Linked DNA regions of Rhinolophus ferrumequinum. The protein of the gene in region 2 purifies or fractionates together with the protein of the main gene of each other region. This does not show direct contact. Links are inferred from orthologs where the notes say so. Each region holds a gene or a part of one and is shown on either strand. Other genes may lie near its edges. The genes, in order: PFDN1, MAPK7 and PFDN4.

Region 1 (7,227 bases), on a different chromosome or scaffold from region 2:
GGGAGGTTAAAACTACAACTACTTAAATAAATCTCCATACACAAAATTACTATAAACATCTTTTCATGAAAAATCTTTTTTTTTTTTTTAATCACTGAAGTTACACACTTTTAAGAACCTAGTAGTAGAGAGAACACGGAAATATTTAAGAAATGTACTTCAAAGTCTAAAATTAAACACATCTATTTGGGATTCGATTTCTCATTTTTTAAAAAAGAAGGTATTTGACTAGATGATCTTTAAAGCTACAGTGATACTTTAACCTGTTTTAAAACAAACAAATTCTATGATTTAATTCAGACAAAACCTCTCCCAAGATAACTCCCATAAGGATATATTTTACTTACATTCTTCCTACACCTTCATACATGTTAGTCTCGTCTACCAAAGTCATAATCTCTGTATCTGTAAGATGTGCATGCTTTTTCGTTCTGTTTAGCTGTTCAATCTGTATATCTGCAAGCTTCACCTTCTGTTGAGTGTCAATAACTTTAGCTTGAAGCTCTGTGAAGGCCTAATAAAAACAAGTCCTTGATTTAGTAGGTGAAACACTTAATAAGAAACATTTAAGTTAAATCCAAATGTATTAAAATTAAGCATGCTAACCAGAGACAAAGCTATGAAATTTACCAAAGCAAACATCAATAAAAGTCAGTATAATTATAATCGATCAAGCCACTAGGCTACATACTGAAATTACCCTGTCAGAAGATGGAATCTATTTGAAGCAGAAACAAATGCACATTAAGTAATAACCATGTCAAGTAGCAGGGACCCAAGGAGTAATAAAAGCAATGAATGCAATAAACAGAGGATGAAACCCAGAAATCCAAAACAAGAACCATAAATGTAACAACTCTCTACATTTGTGTTATTCAACCAGGTTTCAAAGCACTTTCCCACGTTTCAAATATTAATAGAAATATTAACATGAGAACACTGAAGGATATAATAATATCGCATTTATTCCTCTCAATAATCCTATGAGTTAGAAATGGCTATTTCATCATTACAGTTTACAAATTAAGTAACCAAATGTGTTAAAGAGCTGTAAGTGGCTTGCACAGGGTTGACCGACTATCAGGTGGAAAGGCAGGTACTAAATTTCTTGTGACCCCTAGTTCAGGAATCTACCCATTCTACTGTCTACAGTAATATAAAGAACATAAATAATAGAGATATTTTAAAGAAAAAGACAAAAAAGGAAAACATTTCAAAGCATTGGTAGAATTGGATCATGATCTTCATATACACATACCAGGCCAAATTTGAACCTTGTGTACACTGTTCAACCTTGTGTACGCGTAACTGAAAGATAAACACAGTTCTTGGATACTCTTGTTGAAGTGCCTGAAATTTAACAGTGCATGCTGTTAAATTTATGCCTTAATAATAACATTTGTGACTGCAATACATGGCAAAAGGTACTACTTAACTTTTATTCTGACTTTGTTCTCACCTACTGGTAAGGTTTCCAAAGATTTATTTTGTATGAAGGGAGGTGCCTGAAAATTTCCTACTAGTCTCCAGCCAAAATAAAACCTTATCGAGATATTAGAAGATAAAATCTTTAAACGAGTTTCTTCAGTTAATTGGTTGTAAAACTATCCAACTTAAATGTGTAATCATTTTCTTAGTTTTCATTCATTGCCCACAGGTGTCTTAGCAACAAATTCAAATAATACTGGGAAGTTAAGTCCATTCATAGCTCTATGTTAGCTCTTTCAATAAATCCAGGCTTAAATTTGAACTTTTAACAGGAGAAAAAAGTAAATTTTTACACTGCGTTAAGCATTCTTAAAATGAACTTTGTTCTGCATGTAAAATTACCTGATTGTTCTGTACACAGTTTGCTAAGGGAGCTGAAATATTGTTAAAGCTGAGATACTTGAGCATTAGAGAACACCACGTAAGGGCAAAATTTACAAGTTTCAAAACAAGAATGACAAAAAGCAAGACATACACATAAATCCTCACAGCAATAACAAAGAGCTTCATGTAGTACGATCGACAGCTATTTCAGCTGTCCTATTTCTCATGCAAAGGTTGACCAAAAGGGAATCTGAAGTAAAATTTGCTCTTATGAAGAACCTAAGTAGTCAAAAGGTGTGGAGCAGACAATACTGGATTCTAGTCCCAACCTTTGATTCAATTTTTTTCTGGAACTCAGTTTCCTTTTCTGGAAAAGTATAGTTTAAACTAGATGCAGCCTAGGATCCTTTCCAATACCGGTCCCCCTCCCCACCCCAAAAAACTGTTGGGGTCCGTAATGATGTTAGAATCCTGACAACTCTTAGATGATGAAAACGTTTCTGAATAATAACACATTTATAAGCAATTGTTTGAATAGAGAAACCCAATTCCTTCTGATTATCAATTTTATTTGTAAAACTTGGCAGGACTTGTTTCTTTTTCGACAAGTCCTTCAAAAAAGGTAAAAGGTGGGGAGCCAGAGCCCTGAGATGCACAATGCTATGAGCATGTCTGACTCTGGACTGTACTGCGACCTTTCAAGATATGGGATCGAATAAATGGCCTAAAAGCACTGGCTGGATTTGGAATTTTTCAAAGCTAATGAGGATGCACCATTACAGATGCCTAGGCTCAGGCGAACCGTCCTAAGGGGCTCCAATTTGAAACGCTTATTTCAGGCCTCAATACGAAACTGAAGGCCCAAGCGCAACGTAACGGCTCTGCAGCTCGGAAGAGAACAGGCCAGCTATTGGCGCACCAGACAATCAAAGACAGCTCAACGGGCTGTTACCCACCAAGAGCCGCTCGCCCCCTACTCCAACTTAAGAAGACCCGATCCCGCCTTGGGACTTCAGGAAATCATTCCCCAGTTCCCTGGGGCCTCTTTCCGTCTTCAAGACTCGAGCCTCCTCGATATTCTTATCCACAGTCCCCTTAGCTACTAAAGAGAAGCCTCGGCCTGCTCAAGACGCTCTCTTACCTTCTTTAACTCCAAATCCACGGGCGCCGCCATCTTGGCTCACTCTCTGCGCCTGCGCGATGGAAGAAGGCCCGAAAAAGTGAGGAGGAAGGGCGCGCTTTGGCTGTTTAATTGTCCCCCTTTCTTCTGCGCCTGCGCATAAATCGGGCTTGCCGGGCTTCTTCCCTTCACGCGGGCTAGTGGCGCTTGAAATGAATATTCTGGATTCGATTCAGCCTGTGTTCCCCACGTGATCTATCAGGTTTGGGCTGCTTCTCCACGTCCTTCCAGCCACAACATCAACATGCAGATTTCGTGTATGGTTTTAAGCATTTTGACAAATAGCTCAGTTTTTGCTGCTAAATTGAGACGTATGAATATCAGACCAAAACCTCTTCAGTCATTCAGTCCTTCAGCTAGTCCCTGTGCTGTCAGGAATGAGAATCAGCCTGCACCTCAGGCATGCCAGTGTGGAGAAAAACAAGATTATTGGAGTGGTCTTCCAAAGAACTTATTTCTAAGGAATGCTCTTGGAGGACATTTTTGACATAGTGGTTCCCAAGAGAAGCCAAAAAAGTATGTTTAAAAACAAACAAACAAAAAAACACAGATTGTCTGGTCCTCGTCCCAAACTTAATTACTTAGAATTTTTGAGATTGGGGCCCAGAAATTTGCACTTTTGCAAACAATCCTTATGACCTGATGCAACGTCATCTGCAGACCAAATTTTGAGAATTTGCTGTAAAAGATCTAGCATTTGAACCAGAATATTGGATAGAAATTGGACTTTAGGACATGGCAGAAATGGATGTTTTATCTACTCTAAAAACTTGTGAGGGGGGCCGGCCTGGTGGCTCAGGCGGTTAGAGCTCCATGCTCTTAACGCCGAAGGCTGCCGGTTCGATTCCCACATGGGCCAGTGGGCTCTCAACCACAAGGTTGTCGGTTCGACTCCTTGACTCCCACAAGAGATGGTGGGCTGCACCCCTTGCAACTAGCAATGGCAACTGGACCTGGAGCTGAGCTGCGCCCTCCACAACTCAGATTGAAAGGACAACAACTTGACTTGGAAAAAGTCCTGGAAGTACACACTGTTCCCCAATAAAGTCCTGTTCCCCTTAAAAAAAAAAAAAAAAGAAAACTTTAAAAAAAAAAAAAAAAAAAAAAAAAAAAAACTTGTGAGGGAAGGGAAAGGGAAGGAATTTGGAACCGGCCAGACCTGGATTAAAGGTTTGGTTTACCTTGAGCCTAGGTCTGTTTGGTTCCATTTACTAGCTATGTAGCAATAGAGTTTGTCTCCTCTTTTAATTTGAGAATAACAATATTGACCTAATAGGATTATTGTGAGGAATACATAAGATCAGGATGAAACACTCCAAACATAGCACCACACACACAGTAGGTACTCAATGAATAGTTGTTAGTTGAGGTAGTTAACATTGTCATGTTTGTCTTTCAATGTCCAGCAAACAGGTCACCTCCTCCATTATGTCTTTTTTTTATTTTTTACATCACTCAACAACCAAAAATAATATCTCCTTTAAACTCTCCTCAAGACCACATCTGTTCTTCTCTTAAGGCACATGAAACTTTCTACCTTCAATTTTTTTTCCTTATTAGACTGTAAGCTCCTTGAAATCAAGAACGATAGAATAATTGTTCTCCCAGCACTTATACCCAGAACACCTATCACAGTGCCTCATAGGGAAGAAATACAAAATAAACACTTGATGAGAATGAATTCTTCAGAAGAAAATTTGTCATCACTTTCTAATTTGAGAAAGAAAAGGGGGGCCTAATTTTACTCTGGGGCCTTCTTAGAACTTCACTATAGATAATCAATAAATAATGACCCAAAAATTAAAATTCATAGAAAGTCTCAGATACTTTACTGTACATTACCTCATGAGATTTTGAAACACTCCTCATAGCAATTCATGTGTAATGTAAAAAGTTAAGAGCATGGGCTAAGGTATCAGACAACCTAGGTTCAAGTACTGTCTGTATTATTTAATAAGAATGTGACCCTAGGCAAAAGTCTCCTCTCAAATTTTTTGGTCATTGTTCCTTTTTGCATACCACTCCTTCCTCTTGAGTTTAATTTCCTTCTTGATAAAGTAAATCTTCAGTATATTCTTTCAGGATGAGTATTTGAGAAGTAAACTCTGTTAGTCTTTGTGTTAAGGGTTGAATTGTATCCCCCAAAAAAAGATGTGTTGAAGTCCTATATCCAGTACCTCCAAATGTCATCTATTCAGAAATCCAGTCTTTACACAGGTAATGTTAAAATGAAGTCTTTAGGGTGGGCCCTAATCCAATATGTCTTAGTCTTTCAGGCTGCTATAATCACCACAGAGTGGATGGCTTATAAACAACAAACATGTATTTCTCACAGTTCTGGAACTGGAAATCTGAGATCAGGGTACCAGTACGGTTAGGTGAGGGTCCTCTTCAGGGTTGCAAACTGCAGACCTCTCACTATGTCCTCACTTGGTGGAAAGGGTGAGGGAATCTCTGTGGGGGTCTCTTATAAGATCCAGTAAAGCCACTTTTGGGTATACACCCAAAAGAATTAAAACAGGGACTTGAATAGATATTTATATATCCATGTTCAGAGCAGCATATTCACAATATGCAAAATGTGGAAATAATTGGAAGCAAACACATGTTATAACCCAGGTTAACCTTGAGGACATTTTGCTAAGTGAAATAAGCCAGTCACAAGAAGACAAATATTTTATAATTCCACTTATATGAAGGATTTAGAGTAGTCAAAATCATAAAGGCAGAAAGTAGAATGGTGGGTGCCAGGAGCTAGGGAGAAGAGGGGGAATGGGGAGTTATTGTTTAATAGGTATAGAGTTTCAGTTTCACAAGATGAAAGACTTTTAGAGATGGGTGGCGGTAATGGTAGCACAACATTATGAATGCATTTCATACCCCTGAACTGTACACTTAAAAATGGTGAAGAAGGTAAATTTTATGTTATGTCTATATTACCACATTAAAAAATGGAAAAAATTTATTTGTACCTTTTTCAAATCTACCTGCTCTTTTCTTTTTTATGATATGTAATGATATATTCTTGCCTAATAGTGAACATAATTAGAACATAATGAACATAATTATTCTTAAATGTTTTTACAGTGTCTTATCATCTAGTGTGGATTCTTCCATTGGAGGCATTTGCTGGTCTTTCTTATGAAAGTTGATTTTCTCATATTACTAAGTTCATATTACTGAGTTCATATGACTAAGAACTCATCAAAAGTGTCTAGCATGTCCTGGGCTGTGGAAACATCCCTTCACATCCATTTCCACCAAAGCCCTGTGAGATTCACAGGTTCCAAACCAGTTTTTATGTTAATTCTTGACACCACATGAATGTACCAAATTTAGGGAAAAATAAAACTTTCCCTGAGCATAAAGTTGGCAGAATGTGATATACATTTACAGACTGGAAGCCACTGTAATATTTTTCCATATCTCCTTTTCATTTGGGTCTTCAAAATAAAATTATTTCCTTTCTCTCTGGAGCTTTTAAAACAGCAGAAAGGGGGCCGGCCCGGTGGCTCAGGCAGTTGGAGCTCCATGCTCCTAAATCTGAAGGCTGCCGGTTCAATTCCCACATGGGCCAGTGGGCTCTCAACCACAAGGTTGCCAGTTCAGTTCCTCGAGTCCCGCGAGGGATGGTGGGCTCCGTCCCCTGCAACTAGTAACGGCAACTGGACCTGGAGCTGAGCTGCGCCCTCCACAGCTAAGACTGAAAAGGACAACTTGAAGCTAAATGGCACCCTCCACAACCAAGACTGAAAGGACAACAACTTGAAGCTGAACGGCACCCTCCACAACTAAGATTGAAAGGACAACAACTTGACTTGGAAAACAGGCCTGGAAGTACACACTGTTCCCCAATAAAGTCCTGTTCCTCTTCCCCAATAAAAATCTAAAAAAAAAAAAAAAAAAAAAAAAAAAACCAGCAGAAAGAGACCTTCTATGAAAGCACTGAAGAGTTTGCAGTACTTCGACATTTGCTTAGAGAATAACCAGGATGTGCTGGTGTCTATCGTTTTCATAGTAAAAACAGACTTCCCACTGAAGGATTCACTAGCACAGGGATGTACTACTTCTGAGGTTCAATCAGTCCACAGTTGTGGAATTTAGAAAGGTGATCTATTATCCCTCAGTTCTGTTTCTCCATGCGCAATACACTTATTTAGTCATTTAACAAATATTTATTGAACATCCATTAGACATTGATCCAGGCCCTTGGGATGTAACAGTAACAGGCGACA
Region 2 (7,455 bases):
GGAGCCCTGAGGGAGAGGAAGGGAGTGCGGTGAACTGCAGAGCCCACGCCCGTCCAGTGCAGGGCTACTGCTTTGTTCCAGCCCGTTACTGCTGTGTGGGAATGGAAGGCTGATGGTGACAGATTTTTCCAATTTTCTGAAGGAAACCAGAAATCAGGACTTTTATGAGCTATCTCCCCATTTTTAACATAGGCAAATAATTCCACGCTTTTTAAAAAGGCTTGTGTGAATCATTCCCCCATTCTGCTGGTGGGGGTCTAAACTGGTACAATCTCTAAGGACAGAAATTTGACATTAACTATTAAAATTACAAGTTCAATATTCTTCAACTTGGCACTTCCACTTCTGGATATTTATCCTGCAAATATATTTGCAGTTTGCAAAACGATGTGTTCAAGATCATTTATTGCAGCATTGTTTGCAAGAGCAAAAATTCTGAACTAACCTAAATATCCACCTACACAGTGCTGGTTAGATTACATTCATAAATGGATACTATAAAATTACATTCATAAAGGGATAGCTGTAAAAAAGAATGTGGTGGTTTCTTAGATATGACATCGAAGGCACAAGTGACAAAAGATAAAGTGGAATTCATTACAATTAAGTAGTTCTAAATTTTAAAAACTTTGTGCTGCAAATGATACCATCAAGGAAGTGAAAAGGCAACCCACAGAATGGGAATAAATATTTGTAAATCATGTATTTGATGAGACTTACATCCAGAATATATGAAGAAGTCTTACAACTCAACAAAAAGACAAATAATGCAATTAAAAATGAACAAAGGATGTAAATCGACATTCCCCCAAAAGACAAATGGCCAATAAGCACATGAAAAGATGCTCAACATCACTAATCATTAGGAAAATGCCAATCAGAACCACAATGACCTACCACTGCACACCCACTAGGATAGCTATAATTTTTTTAAAAAGGGGGAGGGAATAACAATTGGTGGTGAGGATGTGGAAAAATTGAACCCTCAAATATTGCTAGTCAGGTTGTAAAATGGTGCAACCACTGGGAAGTTTGACAGTTCCTCAAAAAGTTAAATATAAAGTTTACCATATGACCCAGCGATCCCACTCTTAGGTACACCAAGAGAAACGAAAACATGTCCACACGAAAACTTGTACATAAATGCTCACAGCATCATTACTTGTAACAGCCAACAGGTGGAACACCCAAAGGTCCATCAACTGATGAGTGGATAAACAAAATGTGTATCCAAATCCATTTGGTATTAAAAAGAAATGATGTTCTGCTACATGCTACAAGGATAAACATTGAAAATACGCTAAGTGAAAGAACTGACACAAAAGGTCACATATTGTAGGATTCCATTTCTATGGAATGTCCAAAATAGGTAAATCCACAGACAGAAGTATGTCAGTGGTTTCTGGGGGCTGGGTGAGGGGAAATGAGGAGTGATTACAAACGGGTGTCTTTTTTGGGGTGATGAAAAGGTCCTAAAATTAGGTAGTGGTGATGGTTGCACAACTCTGTCAACATAACAGAAAAACACTGAATTACACACTATAAAAGTTTTAGGGGCCAGCCTGGAGGCTCAGGTGGTTGGAGTGTCATACTCCTCCTAAAGCGGAAGTCGCCAGTTCGATTCCCCCACAGGCCAGTGAGCTGCGCCCTCTACAGCTAAGATTGTGAACAACAGCTCTCCCTGGAGCTGGGCTGCCCTGAGCAGCTGGAGGTTGGTGTGAGCTGCTGTGAGCTGCCAGGGGCTGCTGAGTGCTACCACCGGCTGCTGTGCAGTTTCAGGCTACTGTGTGCCGCCATGAACGGCCGGTGGCCAGCGTGTGGCTGGCAGCCAGCGTGAGCGGCCGGCAGCCGGCAAGAGCCACCGTGAGCTGCTGTGAGCAGCCACCAACAACCGGCGACCGACCAACCGCCTCAGCCAGCGGGCACACAAGGCTCATAATACCAGCAGGGGCCAGGGAGCTGTGTCCTACACAACTAGACTGAGAAACAATGGCTTGAACCGGAGTGGGGGGGGGGCAGGCGGAAGAAGGGGAGAAAAAAAAACTTTTAGAGTATGAATTATATGTCAAAATAGCTTACTAAAAAAAAAAAAAAAAGAGGGACCTCTCTGGTTATTGATACTTCTGGTAAGACATTATAAAAGTGGCCACCTGGGAGTGGGACCAAGATTTTTCATTTAAACCTTTTGAATCAGGTGAAACAATTTTTTCTTGAAGAAGCGGTCAGTTGTGTCATATGCAACAGAGCACAGTAAGGCAAGGACGGAAGAGTGTCTGTTGTATTTAATACAGTTAGATAATTGATGACTTTTCCAGGACAGAATAAAGACCTAGTGGGGGAAGAGCAAAGCAGCTCATGGTGGATTGAAAATTAAGAGAATTAGCAAGCTTTTGCCGGAGAACGTTGCAGTCTGTAATGTGGATATCCAGCCTGGCTGAAATATTCATAGAGAATTTAAAGAATACAGTTTCTGAGTTTCTTCTGATACTTTGTTTTATTCCTGGACCAGACAGGACCACCACACAGCTTGTTCAGTTGGTCCCCTAAAAAGATGTGCTTATGTGTCCCGCTTTTGTATGCCCTCTATTTACACTGGGGGACACCGAAGGCCTTATAGTGCATGTATTTCAGAGTTAGGGAAAACTGTCTTTCACCTAACGGCCATCAGACCTCACTGATAGAAAATGTTCTCTTCCCACGAATACGGTTTCTTTATTCATGTTTAATGCAAATCATGTAACAGGTAATTTGGCTTTTTTATTATGCTCTCAGGAAAATCAGGAACAAATATTATAGTTCAACCTTAACTCAGGAGGCACATATGGTTTGTATGTGTCTAAATATGAGATATCTATTTGTCCCAATATTGACCTAATACTCTTAAACATATTTTTCCTTATGCTGAGTTTTTAAAAATGCAGTATCACAACATATGGATCCCGACTAATCTCTTAAAATCAGTGCAGAAAAAAAAAGTGTGGAAGAGAGTTAATAGAAAGAACTATCACCACTGGAAAAGAGAAGGTTCTTCGGAAGTGCTGGTAATGTTTTTCATCTGAATCCAATACCCTGGTGTACTAAGTTTGTGAAAATTAGTGGAGCTTTATGCATGCTTTAGTGAAAAGTAAAAAAAATCAAAAACACAACAGTGGGGAATATACACAGAACAAAAATTTTCAGAAGTGTGTAGGCTTACCAAAATTCATGTCTGGTCTGGATCCACTTTTCGGCTACTAGTTTGCGACGTAAGGAATAAACCCACAACGTGGCACTCAAAGACTTTATTGGGTCCCACCAACCGGTCCTTATTTAGGGCAACGGAACAACCCCCAGAGTCTGCACTGCTGTACTTCTCGACCTCTGTACCTTCAGCCTGTCTCCCCATGCTGTCTTCTTTTCTCACCTGGTGAAAACTCAGCCAGCCATCTTTGGAGTCGCAACTCCAAAACCTTCTACGTCGAATTCCTAAAGGTTGAAAACCTTTTCTCCCAGCCCCCACTAACCACCACGCGCACCTCTGCCTCCTCAGCACTGAACCTTAGAGACTTGGTGCCCGACACATATTTGCTATATGAACGAACGGGCCATCGGGCCCTGGAGCGGGTCGGGGCAGCCGAGGCCCAGTGCTGGCTCTGCCCTCTGGGCTGAGCTGACGGGAGGCGTAGAGGCTGCACGGCCCCGCCCGCCAGCCCAACTCCGCTGTAGCACAGAGAGCCCTCGCGGTCTTGGAACAGAGCCACCAAAACAGGGAACACGCCGGAGGCCAAGGAACAACCGGCGGAGGCTCAGCGATGCCGGAAGCTGGGCAGAGAGGACGAGCCATCGCCAGGCAGTAGCGGCTTCAGGCTTGACGCTCTAGAATCCGGGAGGACCGGGAACTCTGTGGTTGGACCGGACGGATCACCCTCTTCTGGGATGATGCCTTCCCGGAGCCGGGCTCCCGGAACCGATCGGGAAAATGGCGGGCACAATCTCCCAGGGACAGGGACTGAAAAGGGAAGAGGGCCCTGAAGTGGGGGGATTTCGCGAGCCGGCCGCCAAGCTAAAAGTCCCGGGTGTGCTAGCCCCTCGGAGCTGCCAGGACCAGCGGCGATTTGCGGGAGGAGACGCCGCGGATACATGGAGATGCGCGCGAGCACGCGCGGGGGCGTTGCCTTCCTGCAGGCGGCGCCCGGGGCGGCCAGCGCGCATGCGTCGGAAGACGGCGCGGGGTACCGACTGCACCCCTGAGAAGCGCGGAGCGCACTTTGGGCGGCTCCCGCGGGCGAACTGGGCAGTGGCGCGCGCGGGCGCGCGCAGGACACAGGCGTGGCTTCCTCTGCAGGTGGGCTCGGATTGGACGACGCGAGCACAAGGGGTGGAGAAGCACCTCAGAGACCGCCCAGCGATTGGCCGGAGGCTGAAGGGAGCGTGGTCTTGGGAGGCGGGGCAGGGGGGACCAGCGGGGCTGAGCTCTATGCTGAGGTGGAGGCGGCGGCCTTAAACACGTGAGCGAGTGACTCTGGCGTCCCCCTCCCCTGGGGACGGCAGGCCAGGGGCCCCGGAGACCCTCGAAAGCCCCGACGAGACGTCGGGGTGAGGCGCGATTCGGTGAGTGTGGACCGAGGAAAGCGAAGTGCCCCGCCCCCTCCCTTTCTTCCTGAACCCGCCTCGCTGCACCTCCCCCACCTCCGACCCTGCGTTGCACCGGGACCTGAGCTTTGGGCTCCGATTGCCTGGTGTGGCACATATACTACATGCCAGCCGCCGTCTTTTGCCCCCTACCTGGTCCCCATCGGCTTAGGGAACTTGGAATTACGTGGTCCTGCTCCAGCCTCACAAAGGGGAAACTGAGGCCTGGGGCGGGGCGGGCCCCCGCTCACCAGCGTTTCCACACAGACGCCATGGCCGAGCCCCTGAAGGAGGAGGACGGCGAGGACGGCTCCGGAGAGCCCCCGGGGCCGGTGAAGGCGGAGCCCGTCAGCACCGCTGCCTCTGTGGCGGCCAAGAACCTAGCCCTGCTCAAAGCCCGGTCCTTCGATGTGACCTTCGACGTGGGGGACGAGTATGAGATCATCGAGACCATAGGCAATGGGGCCTACGGGGTGGTGTCCTCCGCGCGTCGCCGCCTCACGGGTGAGCTTCCCTGTGGGCGCCGCTCACCGAGGTGGACACTGGTGCCCCGAGAGTGGGAGAGCCGCCCCCGCTCAAACAGCCCGGCAGGAGAGCCGGGCGCACGTTCTGGTTCGCGTCGGCAAGCGCTGCTTACGTGCCGTCGGGGTGCCCGGCACGGTGCTGGGCACGGCTCTCAGAACCTCGGGCACGGCGGTTTCGCCGGCACATCTGCCTACTTCCTCCTTAGAAAAATGTCCCTCCCAGTGAGACCGGGAGGAGATCTTATCTTTTGTTTCTAACAGAAGTGTGTTCTGGAGCCGCAGCCTAGTACAGGGGCTGGTGGTGGGGCGGGTAAGGTTTGAGATGCAGAGAGCGCGTAGGGAGGTAGGACGAGCACAGTCTACATTCTACCGACAAGCTGTGCAACCCCCAGTAGGTTACTGTGACGGGGTTTCCTCACCTGTAACGTGGAGCTATCAGTACCTGTCTCGGGACAGGTGTGAAGTGTGTGTAACGCGCTTAGCACAGGGGTTGGCACATAGGAGGTACTCAGGATATAGTAGCTGTTGTTACTCAGTGGGTGGTGGCCATGATTTGCATCCTAGACGGGAGATGGTGAAAGGGGCCTTGTGCCACCCTGCAGCTGCTGCAAGGCACCTCACGGTATCTGCCTTTTCTCTGCCCCTCAGGCCAGCAGGTGGCCATTAAGAAGATCCCCAATGCTTTCGATGTGGTGACCAATGCCAAGCGGACCCTCAGGGAGCTGAAGATCCTCAAACACTTCAAGCATGACAACATCATCGCCATCAAGGACATCCTGAGGCCCACCGTGCCCTATGGCGAGTTCAAATCCGTGTAAGAAATGGGAATGGGAGAGGGAGGCAGAGCTGGGAGTTTTCTGAAGGTTAGGACCACATTGCTCAAGTTCTGGAAGGACCGCTGAACCTAATGGAAGGCCCCCGGGGGAATTCCCGTAATTCCAGGACCAGTGCTCCCGTAGGGTTTTGCCAGGGACAGCTGGTTCTCAAGAAGAGTACAGATGTTACAATTTGATAGAACGTCAGTGTAGAGGATGGCAAACGCAGCACACACACTATAACTACAGCTGCCTGTTCTCGTAGCAGTCATCACTCATCAGTCACAGGACGCTTACCGACAGAGGGCAAACCGCCGCAGTGTTCAGCAGTCATTAAGTGGCCATTACCAAACAATGGAGACAGCCCCCAAAACTACAGCTATTTGCTAGTCCTGATTTGGTCCACCCTCATTTTTTCTCGGACGGGCAACTAGATCTGGAGAGAAAAGTGATGTAACTTCACTTAAGTTCATGGAAAAGTTGTAGAGAATCTAGACTCTTCATACCATACGGTTGGCCCTTCCAGAGTCTGAGGGTAAGGCCGCTCCCTGCCTGGAGCCAGGTGGGTGTGGTGAGCTTGGGGCTGGCGTGTGGACAAGACAAGACAGCCCATACGTCTCTCCCTGTCCCTTGTAGCTATGTGGTCCTGGACCTGATGGAGAGCGACCTGCATCAAATCATCCATTCCTCGCAGCCACTCACGCTGGAGCACGTCCGCTATTTCCTGTACCAGCTGCTGCGGGGCCTCAAGTACATGCACTCAGCTCAGGTCATCCACCGCGACCTCAAGCCCTCAAACCTGCTGGTGAATGAGAACTGTGAGCTCAAGATCGGTGATTTCGGCATGGCACGCGGCCTGTGCACCTCGCCTGCCGAGCACCAGTACTTCATGACCGAATATGTGGCCACGCGCTGGTACCGTGCCCCGGAGCTCATGCTCTCACTGCATGAGTACACGCAGGCTATTGATCTGTGGTCTGTGGGCTGCATTTTTGGTGAGATGCTGGCGAGGCGTCAGCTCTTCCCGGGCAAAAACTATGTGCACCAGCTGCAGTTGATCATGATGGTGTTGGGCACCCCCTCACCAGCTGTGATTCAAGCTGTGGGGGCTGAAAGGGTGCGGGCGTACATCCAGAGCCTGCCACCCCGCCAGCCTGTGCCCTGGGAGACAGTGTACCCAGGTGCTGACCGCCAGGCCCTCTCACTGCTGGGGCGCATGCTGCGTTTTGAGCCCAGTGCCCGCATCTCCGCGGCTGCCGCCCTTCGCCACCCCTTCTTGGCCAAGTACCATGACCCTGATGATGAGCCTGACTGTGCCCCGCCCTTTGACTTCGCCTTTGACCGGGAAGCCCTCACCCGGGAACGGATTAAGGAGGCCATTGTGGCCGAGATCGAGGACTTCCATGCACGGCGTGAAGGCATCCGCCAGCAGATACGTTTCCAGCCTTCCCTGCAGCCTGTGGCCAGTGAGCCTAGCTGCCCCGACATTGAAATGCCCAGTCCCT
Region 3 (7,685 bases), on a different chromosome or scaffold from region 2:
CTCTGGGCCCGAATCACCCAGGCCAGGGCATCCCACTAGCACTGACTTTCTTGCTGTTTCAGGGACTCAAGCTTTGTCTGCCAGGCTGCCCTCATCACGGCAATGGATTCCCCCGGCACCTGGCACCTCCCATTCTTGCTCTCTCAGATCAGGTCTCCTACTGGTGAATCTGATTCGCTGGGCCTGGATCCTGTGGCCTGCATCCGAGCTTAAAGGATGCCAGGAAATTGAGTTCTGGCTTCTAGAAAGGAATGGTAACACTCATGACCTGGAAATGTCCCCAAATGTACATAAAAGTATTCAACAGACATTAGGGGATCACAAATATATATAAGATACCCACTTCACTGCCAAACAGGTCCTTTTATGAGCAGAGGCATCTGTGGGAAAGAAGCTGCCTGGCTCAGTGCTAGGTACACACGAAGTTCTGAAGAAATCCTTGTTGAATGAATCACACGAGGAAATTTATATTTGAATTTGAAGATATGCTTCGATTGCTCCATATAACAAGTTCTGACTCATTCTCAGCATTGAAATTGCTATAAGCACGTACCTTGCAGTAAACAGGTTAGTTAATGGTCTACTTTATAAAGGCTTAAAATCAGTGCGTACATTTGAGGGCTCCGGAAAATGCTTTGCCTTTTACCAGGTAAAAATTAAGGCAAGAATTCAAACAAGCAGAAGATGATGATTTCCTTGATTTTGTGCCATCTTGCTTTGCAGAGTGTAGAAGAGAACGTGGACAGTTCCCGAGAACAGTAAAATGTCAGATTCTGGAGTCACAGCGCCACCTGGTGAAGAAAGGAAGGGCTGCTCTGCCAATGAGTCCACAAAATCAGTTTTGTGAGACAAGATCAGAATTTTTGTGAGACGCACAGTAGTACTCGATCTAGCGAAGAAAAATAAGTGAATGGAAACGCGCTATGGACTCTTGCACATTGTTACTGAATGAATTCACCCACAGCTATATTGTATGATATATTACTGCATTCATCCCTAAATACATAGTCACTCATTCATGCATTTATTTATTCATTAGCTAATATTTGTGAAGCATCTACCTCCACGTTAGTGCCGTGATTACAGAGATGATGAAACAGGTGTGTTTCCCTTGGTGGGAAAAGGAAAGGTGCTATGAAGGGCTTTAAGGGTGTTGAAAAGGGGGTGCTACTCTTTCTGGGTGGTGGATGTGTTTAAGGAAAGCTTTCTTGATGGCTGAGTGTCAGGAGTAGAAGTTAGCCAGGTGAACAAACAGGAGAAAGGGGCGTCAAGGACAGCAAGCGGCTCAAGTGCAAAGGCCCTGAGGCAGAAGGCAGCAGGCAACATTCACAGAGTGGAGGCCCACGGCGCTAGAGCACCGTGAGGGGGAGGGATGGAGTGGAATAAGGTCAGAGAGGGAGGCTGCACCTCGGCCAGGAATCTAAATGATGCCTTTGTGCAATGCGTGGGAAGACAACGAAGAATTTCAGATAGGGCCATGATAAAACCATCTACAAAACTGTTGAGCCAAATACAAACTGACACTATTTTCTATTACCCAGCACAATAAGAAGATTCAAAAGAACTACGAGAGAGAAGGTAAGGCTTGTGCAATGGTAGCTTAGAAAAATACCAACTGTGTAGTAAGTGCAGACTTTAAAGATGAAAGAGGTTAACAATAACCAAGGAAGGCTTTATTTAAAGGACAGATTAAATCGTGAGTCATGAAGGGGCACAGAGGCACTTCTGGTGATCATGGAACTAGAGCAGGAAGGAGGTGAATGTGGGAGAGTAATCAGACAGTCTGGAGAGGAAATTTTTCAGTGAGAGTTCCTGATTTGCATAGATTTACTTCAGAAAACCTAGGGGATTCCCCCCACCATTTCATTTAAGAATGAAAAACTTGGTCATAAGAACATTCCAGAAGATGTGCACCTGGGAGGTTTATCACAGGTCACAGATTGAGCGGTCCATCTAGTTGGTATACACAATAGATTTAGAATTTATTTTAAAATCAATTTCAGTGGTTTCAACATCACAAGACTTCACATTAAAAAAAAAAAAAAAATCCGGGTTACTGGCTTCTAGGAAGAAAGGGGAACTTCTAGTGGCCCTGGGTCCCCATTCCCTCATGGCAACAATTGGCGGGAGGTGAGGAGCTGCTGGAGATGAGCTGCACAAACTGGATACGGTCAGTCGGATGGCGCACAGTCCCTCCCTCATTTATAACGTCCATCACTCACTTATATTTTCTACCTGGCCCCTGCAGGCCTTGGAATCCGCTCTCCACTCCTCCCCTCCCCCACTCCCTACCCCCTCCACGGTGGGAGGCAGCGGAGGAGGGTTATCTTCTCCACAGCTTCATCTCTTGCCCTTCTTCTCTTTCCTTTTCATCCCCTTTCTTCCCTTTCTTTAAGTACACCATGATCTCCTACCTTTATTTGATATTAAAGGTTCCCTCCACTTTATTCCCTCCCTCTGGGACAGGGATTAGGGTCAAGCACACAGGCACCTAGAGCCAGGCACATGTAAGGGGGACCGCAAGGGGCAGTACCTGGCCCTTCTCCCCATTCCACGGCCTGTTACTTTCCGCCTTTTGAACAAACCTCAGCTGAAACAGTTTTCTCCGGGAGGAAGAGATCTATTTAAACCCCTTAAAATCTGCTTCTGTAGCAAGCGAAACTGGTTTTCCCTTTAAACCAGAGATTTTAAATGTCCTTTGAAAATGTACTTATTCTATGTTTTAAAATAGATCTGTTTTTAAGTTAAGAAAAGAATCGTTCTGTTGATATTTTAGCAATATATCCAGGTGGACTTGAAAGGCTGGGGTCTGTGGAACACTACCAAGGTCCTTGGGCGCCCCCTGCAGGCACTGAGCAAATGACCACGTAGTGATGGGGTGGGCCCCTCCTTGTCCCTAGATTCCTCCTGGCCAAAGTGGAAGGGTAATCCTACCAAGATTTCCCATTCAGGAGAACGGACTCTGGGTGTGAGCACACAATGTGATATACAGGTATGTATTATAGAAATGTACTCTTGAAATCTATGTAATTTTACTAACCATCATCACCCCAATAAATTTAATTTAAAAAAACAAAAGACTTTCCTTTCAAGGCTTAGAACATCTGGTGCAGATGTTGCAGGTTTTGGAGGGAACTCATGCACACACTGCTATGAAATAATGTGGTGAGCTCACTATTGCTTTGTGACAGAATCTAAATTAAGCTGGGACATGTCTGGACAATTTTGTAGCTTACATGTCAGTTCAAATAGGGCTTTTGTTCCCCTCAATTTTCCAGTCAACATACTTAGCATTTTACTCATAGAGTTGTATCTTTTTCATAGAGTTTTCATGCTGGTAGTTACAGTCTTTTATTATTACTGTATGTGTTCTTGTTATAACTATTAATAACACATATTGATAATACCACCTTCTAATACTGAAGAATTTACTTCTGTGTTTTGACTATGATCTGTCATCACTAGACTGTAAGCTGCACGAGGACAGGGAATTTTGCCTATTCTACTTGTACTGTAGTCCCACTGCCCTTCTTGATCGAGTTAACATGCCACCAATCCAGAGTCTTCACTAGCTACTCCAGCCAGACATGAGCCTCCTGGGGACCCCTCAGCAGTTGTCCCAGGGCTGCAGCTTCAGGTGCTATGATTGGGGGCGATACATGTGTGCCAACCATAAGCTCTTTGATGCCAAGCACCCATCTAATTCATCCTTCTTTTCACAATAGCATCTAGCATGGTACAGATTTCAAACAATTGCACCATGAACGCCCTCATTTCAATGCCTTAGAACAGAAGTCTGGGGTGACAAGTTCATACACCTGGACACGACAGGTAAGCACACCATGAGGCAGGTGGGCATCTGCCGGGCCCTGGAGAGGGTCTGTTAGCTAAATGGGCCATGACTAATCAGCAACAACAGCTGCTGTTGTGCAAAAATGTAGGATCAAAGTCACCAGGATTCTGATTTTACAAGCACAAGCAAAACAAAAAATCGGATATTGTGGAGTGAAATCTCCTAATTTTCATATGTTTGTTCAAGTAAAAATACTGTGTGGGTCAAAACAAAACAAAAAACAAAAATAGAACAAAAAACAAAACAAAAACATGGCTTGGATCCAGTCAGTAGGTGGCTGGGTTTCAACCTGATGTAAGGGAATCTGCTCATCCCCCGTCCCGTTCCCCTCCCCTCAGCGGGGATAGTACTTTCAAGTGGTTCCTGGTGATTTTCCTCCTGATCAGCAGTCTCCAATTGTTTCCATTTGTACCCCAGCCTTCTTTCTTTTGCTGGTTAAAAAGAAAGAAAGAAAGAAAGAATTGGGAGGCACAAATGTCAGAGCAGACAGTAATCGCTCAATAATGTTGAATAAATAAGTAGGAGTACTTCTCCCTTAATACCATCTGAATTATCAGGGCATATTAACTGCACATCCTATTGCCAAGGTCATTAGTTCTTAGCACTTTTTTAGGTAGGTAGATTTCTCCTCATTCCTGTGCGGGATTGATGAAAAAGATTTCCCTTTCATCTCCTCAAGGCCCGGCCCCGCCCCCGGCTCGGCTCCAACCGAGGCCCTGCCCCGCCGCTCTGGGCGCCCCCTGCTGCCCGCTGCTGGATCCGCGGCCGTTCGCCACACCCCCCAGTTTGTGTCGACCCACGGGGAGTTGCCTGTCCCTTTAATTGGCATGTACCAAATCCTTCCAGGTTGCATTTCCTCCATGAGTCCTAGACGTTAGAGCTCCTTCGTCGAAGATCCAACACGAGGGAATGTGGAGACGGTGTTGTATTTTACGGGAGTTCTGGGCCAACAGGGAGTGAGAGAGGGTAGGGAGGAGAAGCGCGCCGTTGCGGCCCTCCCCGCCTCGCGCGGTAGTCCAGTCCCAAGATGGCGGCCACCATGAAGAAGGCGGTGAGTGGAGCGCTCGCGGTGCGGGATGCTCGGGCTGCGGGAGGCGACCGGCCGCCGAGGGGCCGGGAGAGGGATGCTGGGGTGCTGATCTCTGAAGCCCGGCGTGGGGCCCGGGGTCCCGGTCCCCGGCCCTGAGGACGGCCCCGCAGTGAGGCCTGTCCACGCCCGGCGCCCTGGGCGGCGTCTTAGGCCCCCGGCCCACCAAGGCGGGGCGCACGGACTGGGACCCTTGGAGGGCTCCGGGATGCCTCTCGCCGGGCTGAGGATGGCCCTGGAGAGTCTGAGGGTCCCGCGGCCCAGGCCTTGTCATTGCAGCGTGGGAAGCGAAGGTCCCATTGACTGCATCTGACCGTAAGGCTGGGCGCTTTACCTGAGTTATCATATTTAACCCTCACAGGTCCACAAGGTTAGGCAGTATTGGTAGCGTCCTTTGCAGGTAAGGAAGCTGAGGCCCAGAGAGGTGGAGTCACCTTCCCAAGGTTACGCAGCTGTAAGGAGTAGAGCAGGACCCTCCATCCTTGAATTATCTGGCCGCAGAGCCCCAGTGCCCAGCCCTGAGTCTCCCACATCCACACTTGATGGCCCTGCGTCCTCCAGGCCAAAGGATAGACGATGGGTCAGGGTCCAGAAGCCGTGCGTTGATTATCTCTGATCCTCCCAGCAACTTCGCAAGGATAAGGGTTTCTCCCCACTTTACAGATGGAGAAACTTAGACACAGAGCGGCTAGTGACCTGAAAGTGACTCAGCTAATAAGAATCAGAGCTAGAATTCAAACTCAGGTGTTCCTCCTACCCCCCCAAGCACACCTTTTATCCTGCTAAGCAAGCTAAACGCCTGTTTAGGGTTTCTAATCCGATAAGTGTACCCAGATGCTTAAAGATATCTAGATAGAAGAAAAAGAAAATGTGGAGAGAGCAAGGAAATAATAACATCTGATCATTATCAAGGCTTTACTGTGTGCTAGGCACAGTTCTAAGAGTGTTGCACACGTTATATATTTTAATCTTATGGCCCTTTTAAGGAGCCCTTTAAGGAGTTGATTTTATCTTTATTTTACATCTGATGCAAGCCGAAGCAGAGACAAAGCTAGGATTTAAGTAAACACAGGCGTTGAGTCTCCAAAGCCTGTGTTTTGACTGCATGGTGTCTGAAGAGAGTCCCCTGGCTGAAGGGATTTGCTTTCGAGGTATTGTGCAGGTTTGCTCTCATTCCACTTCAAGGGCCACTTGAACTTGCTTTCTTTGCTCTCCTCTGCAGCACTGCATAGTCGGAGCCACCTGCACCACCTGTGCCACCTGCGCCTGGTGTAGGGTGACCAACCATCCCTGTCTGTCTGAGACTGAAGGAGCACTCAAACTGGGAAAGCCCCAGGCAAACCAGGATGAGCTGCTCTCTCTGTTGGTCTGTCATTCATTCAGTTCTTACAGAGTACGAGTGTGGGGGTCTAGGGCCACGGTGATTCAGACAAGTATGGCACTTTGTGAGATTCACTTCACCTCTATTTTGTATTTAAATTGGGCCCTGTGTTGTTAGGTACGGCCCTTAATGCCATGGCAGATATTGTGGTTTGGCCCCATTTGACAGATGTGGAAACTAAAGTGCAGAGAGATGAAGCAAAGGAGTTGAGGAAATGATAAAAAAGGATTTGAACCCTGGACTTTGCAAAATTGCTGAATTACCAACATTTTTTCCTTCCAGTCATTCCGCAAGCTTTTTGAGTGTGTCATATGGTACAGTCGCAGTTTTACGTGGTGGAGGTAATGATCAACAGTAATGACGTTCTTATTCCCTGACCCTCCTAGCGTAGTAGAACGTATGCTCTGGGGGAGAGGCAGGCAGTAATGGAATAGTCATACAGAAAACTGTAAAATTTCCAGCTCCGATCAGAACTACGAAAGAAAGATACTTGTGAAATGAAGGTGGAATAAGGTCTGTGTTGTGATCAGAGAAGGTGTGATCTATCAGATTACATAAGGAGGGGAAGAAAAAGTGGGAAAGGGAGCAGGTATTCTAGATATTCTAGAGAGGGAATTTCTCCTGCCCAGACCTTGAGTGCATTTAATAAAAGGAAGGCCAGCATGGCAGCGAATTGGGGGGTGAGGGGGGAAAGATTGAACCATGATGGTAGAACCTAGAGGGGTAGGTGGTGGCTGAAACATGAAGGATTTTCTTCTTCATCTTAGTAAGACTGGCATGTAGATGGCAGCGTCGTGTAGACGTTCCCAGTGCTATAAACCATTTCTGATCCGCCAACTACATGTGCACTTTCCCCTTCTGCCCTCTCTAGGAGAAAACATGGGCATGCCACTGAGTGAGTGTGAAATATCGCAGGAATAGCCCTTCTAATTGGACAAAAATTGTTTGCAATTTGGAGTACTCTACATTTGTAGCGCATTGCTTCCCAACGGGTCATGACTTTTCTGGTGAGAATGTTTGGAGGACATGATTCAGTGCTCTTGTCTCCAAGGTTCTGCTTTCTCAGAACTGGTTGTTGGCCACGAGGGGTCTGTTGTCTGAGTTCTGCCCAGGGTCCCTCAGAGAAGCCATCTTTGACCTTCCTATCTAAAGAAGTCCCCTTCACTCTCCAGCTCCCCAACACTTTCAACCTCTGTTCTACTTTCATCATCATGTATATCCCCATCTAATAAAAACACCCTTGTTTTTTGCCCGTCTCCTCCACCAGAATTTAAGCTTGCCAGGTGTACATGAGGGTAGGACTACAGCTGTTTTCACAGTGTCTGACACACGGGAAACATTAAATAATTATTAAATGAATATAT

What was found.
Region 1: the proteins of MAPK7 (region 2) and PFDN1 purify together in Homo sapiens (affinity purification with mass spectrometry; 3 studies listed by BioGRID and IntAct, with this or other methods). This does not show direct contact. The link is inferred for Rhinolophus ferrumequinum from reciprocal best matches to the Homo sapiens genes MAPK7 and PFDN1.
Region 3: the proteins of MAPK7 (region 2) and PFDN4 purify together in Homo sapiens (affinity purification with mass spectrometry; 3 studies listed by BioGRID and IntAct, with this or other methods). This does not show direct contact. The link is inferred for Rhinolophus ferrumequinum from reciprocal best matches to the Homo sapiens genes MAPK7 and PFDN4.

Annotation. Positions count from the first base shown.
Region 1 is NC_046307.1:14,945,848-14,953,074, forward strand, and holds the start of PFDN1 (prefoldin subunit 1), read right to left. Parts: upstream 3,102-7,227; 5' UTR 2,987-3,101; coding exon 2,954-2,986; intron 515-2,953; coding exon 348-514; intron 1-347. UniProt on the Homo sapiens protein: Binds specifically to cytosolic chaperonin (c-CPN) and transfers target proteins to it. Binds to nascent polypeptide chain and promotes folding in an environment in which there are many competing pathways for nonnative proteins.
Region 2 is NC_046304.1:140,310-147,764, reverse strand, and holds the start of MAPK7 (mitogen-activated protein kinase 7), read left to right. Parts: upstream 1-4,430; 5' UTR 4,431-4,590; intron 4,591-4,878; 5' UTR 4,879-4,883; coding exon 4,884-5,115; intron 5,116-5,783; coding exon 5,784-5,949; intron 5,950-6,586; coding exon 6,587-7,455. UniProt on the Homo sapiens protein: Plays a role in various cellular processes such as proliferation, differentiation and cell survival. The upstream activator of MAPK7 is the MAPK kinase MAP2K5.
Region 3 is NC_046306.1:6,539,868-6,547,552, reverse strand, and holds the start of PFDN4 (prefoldin subunit 4), read left to right. Parts: upstream 1-4,647; 5' UTR 4,648-4,880; coding exon 4,881-4,904; intron 4,905-7,685. UniProt on the Homo sapiens protein: Binds specifically to cytosolic chaperonin (c-CPN) and transfers target proteins to it. Binds to nascent polypeptide chain and promotes folding in an environment in which there are many competing pathways for nonnative proteins.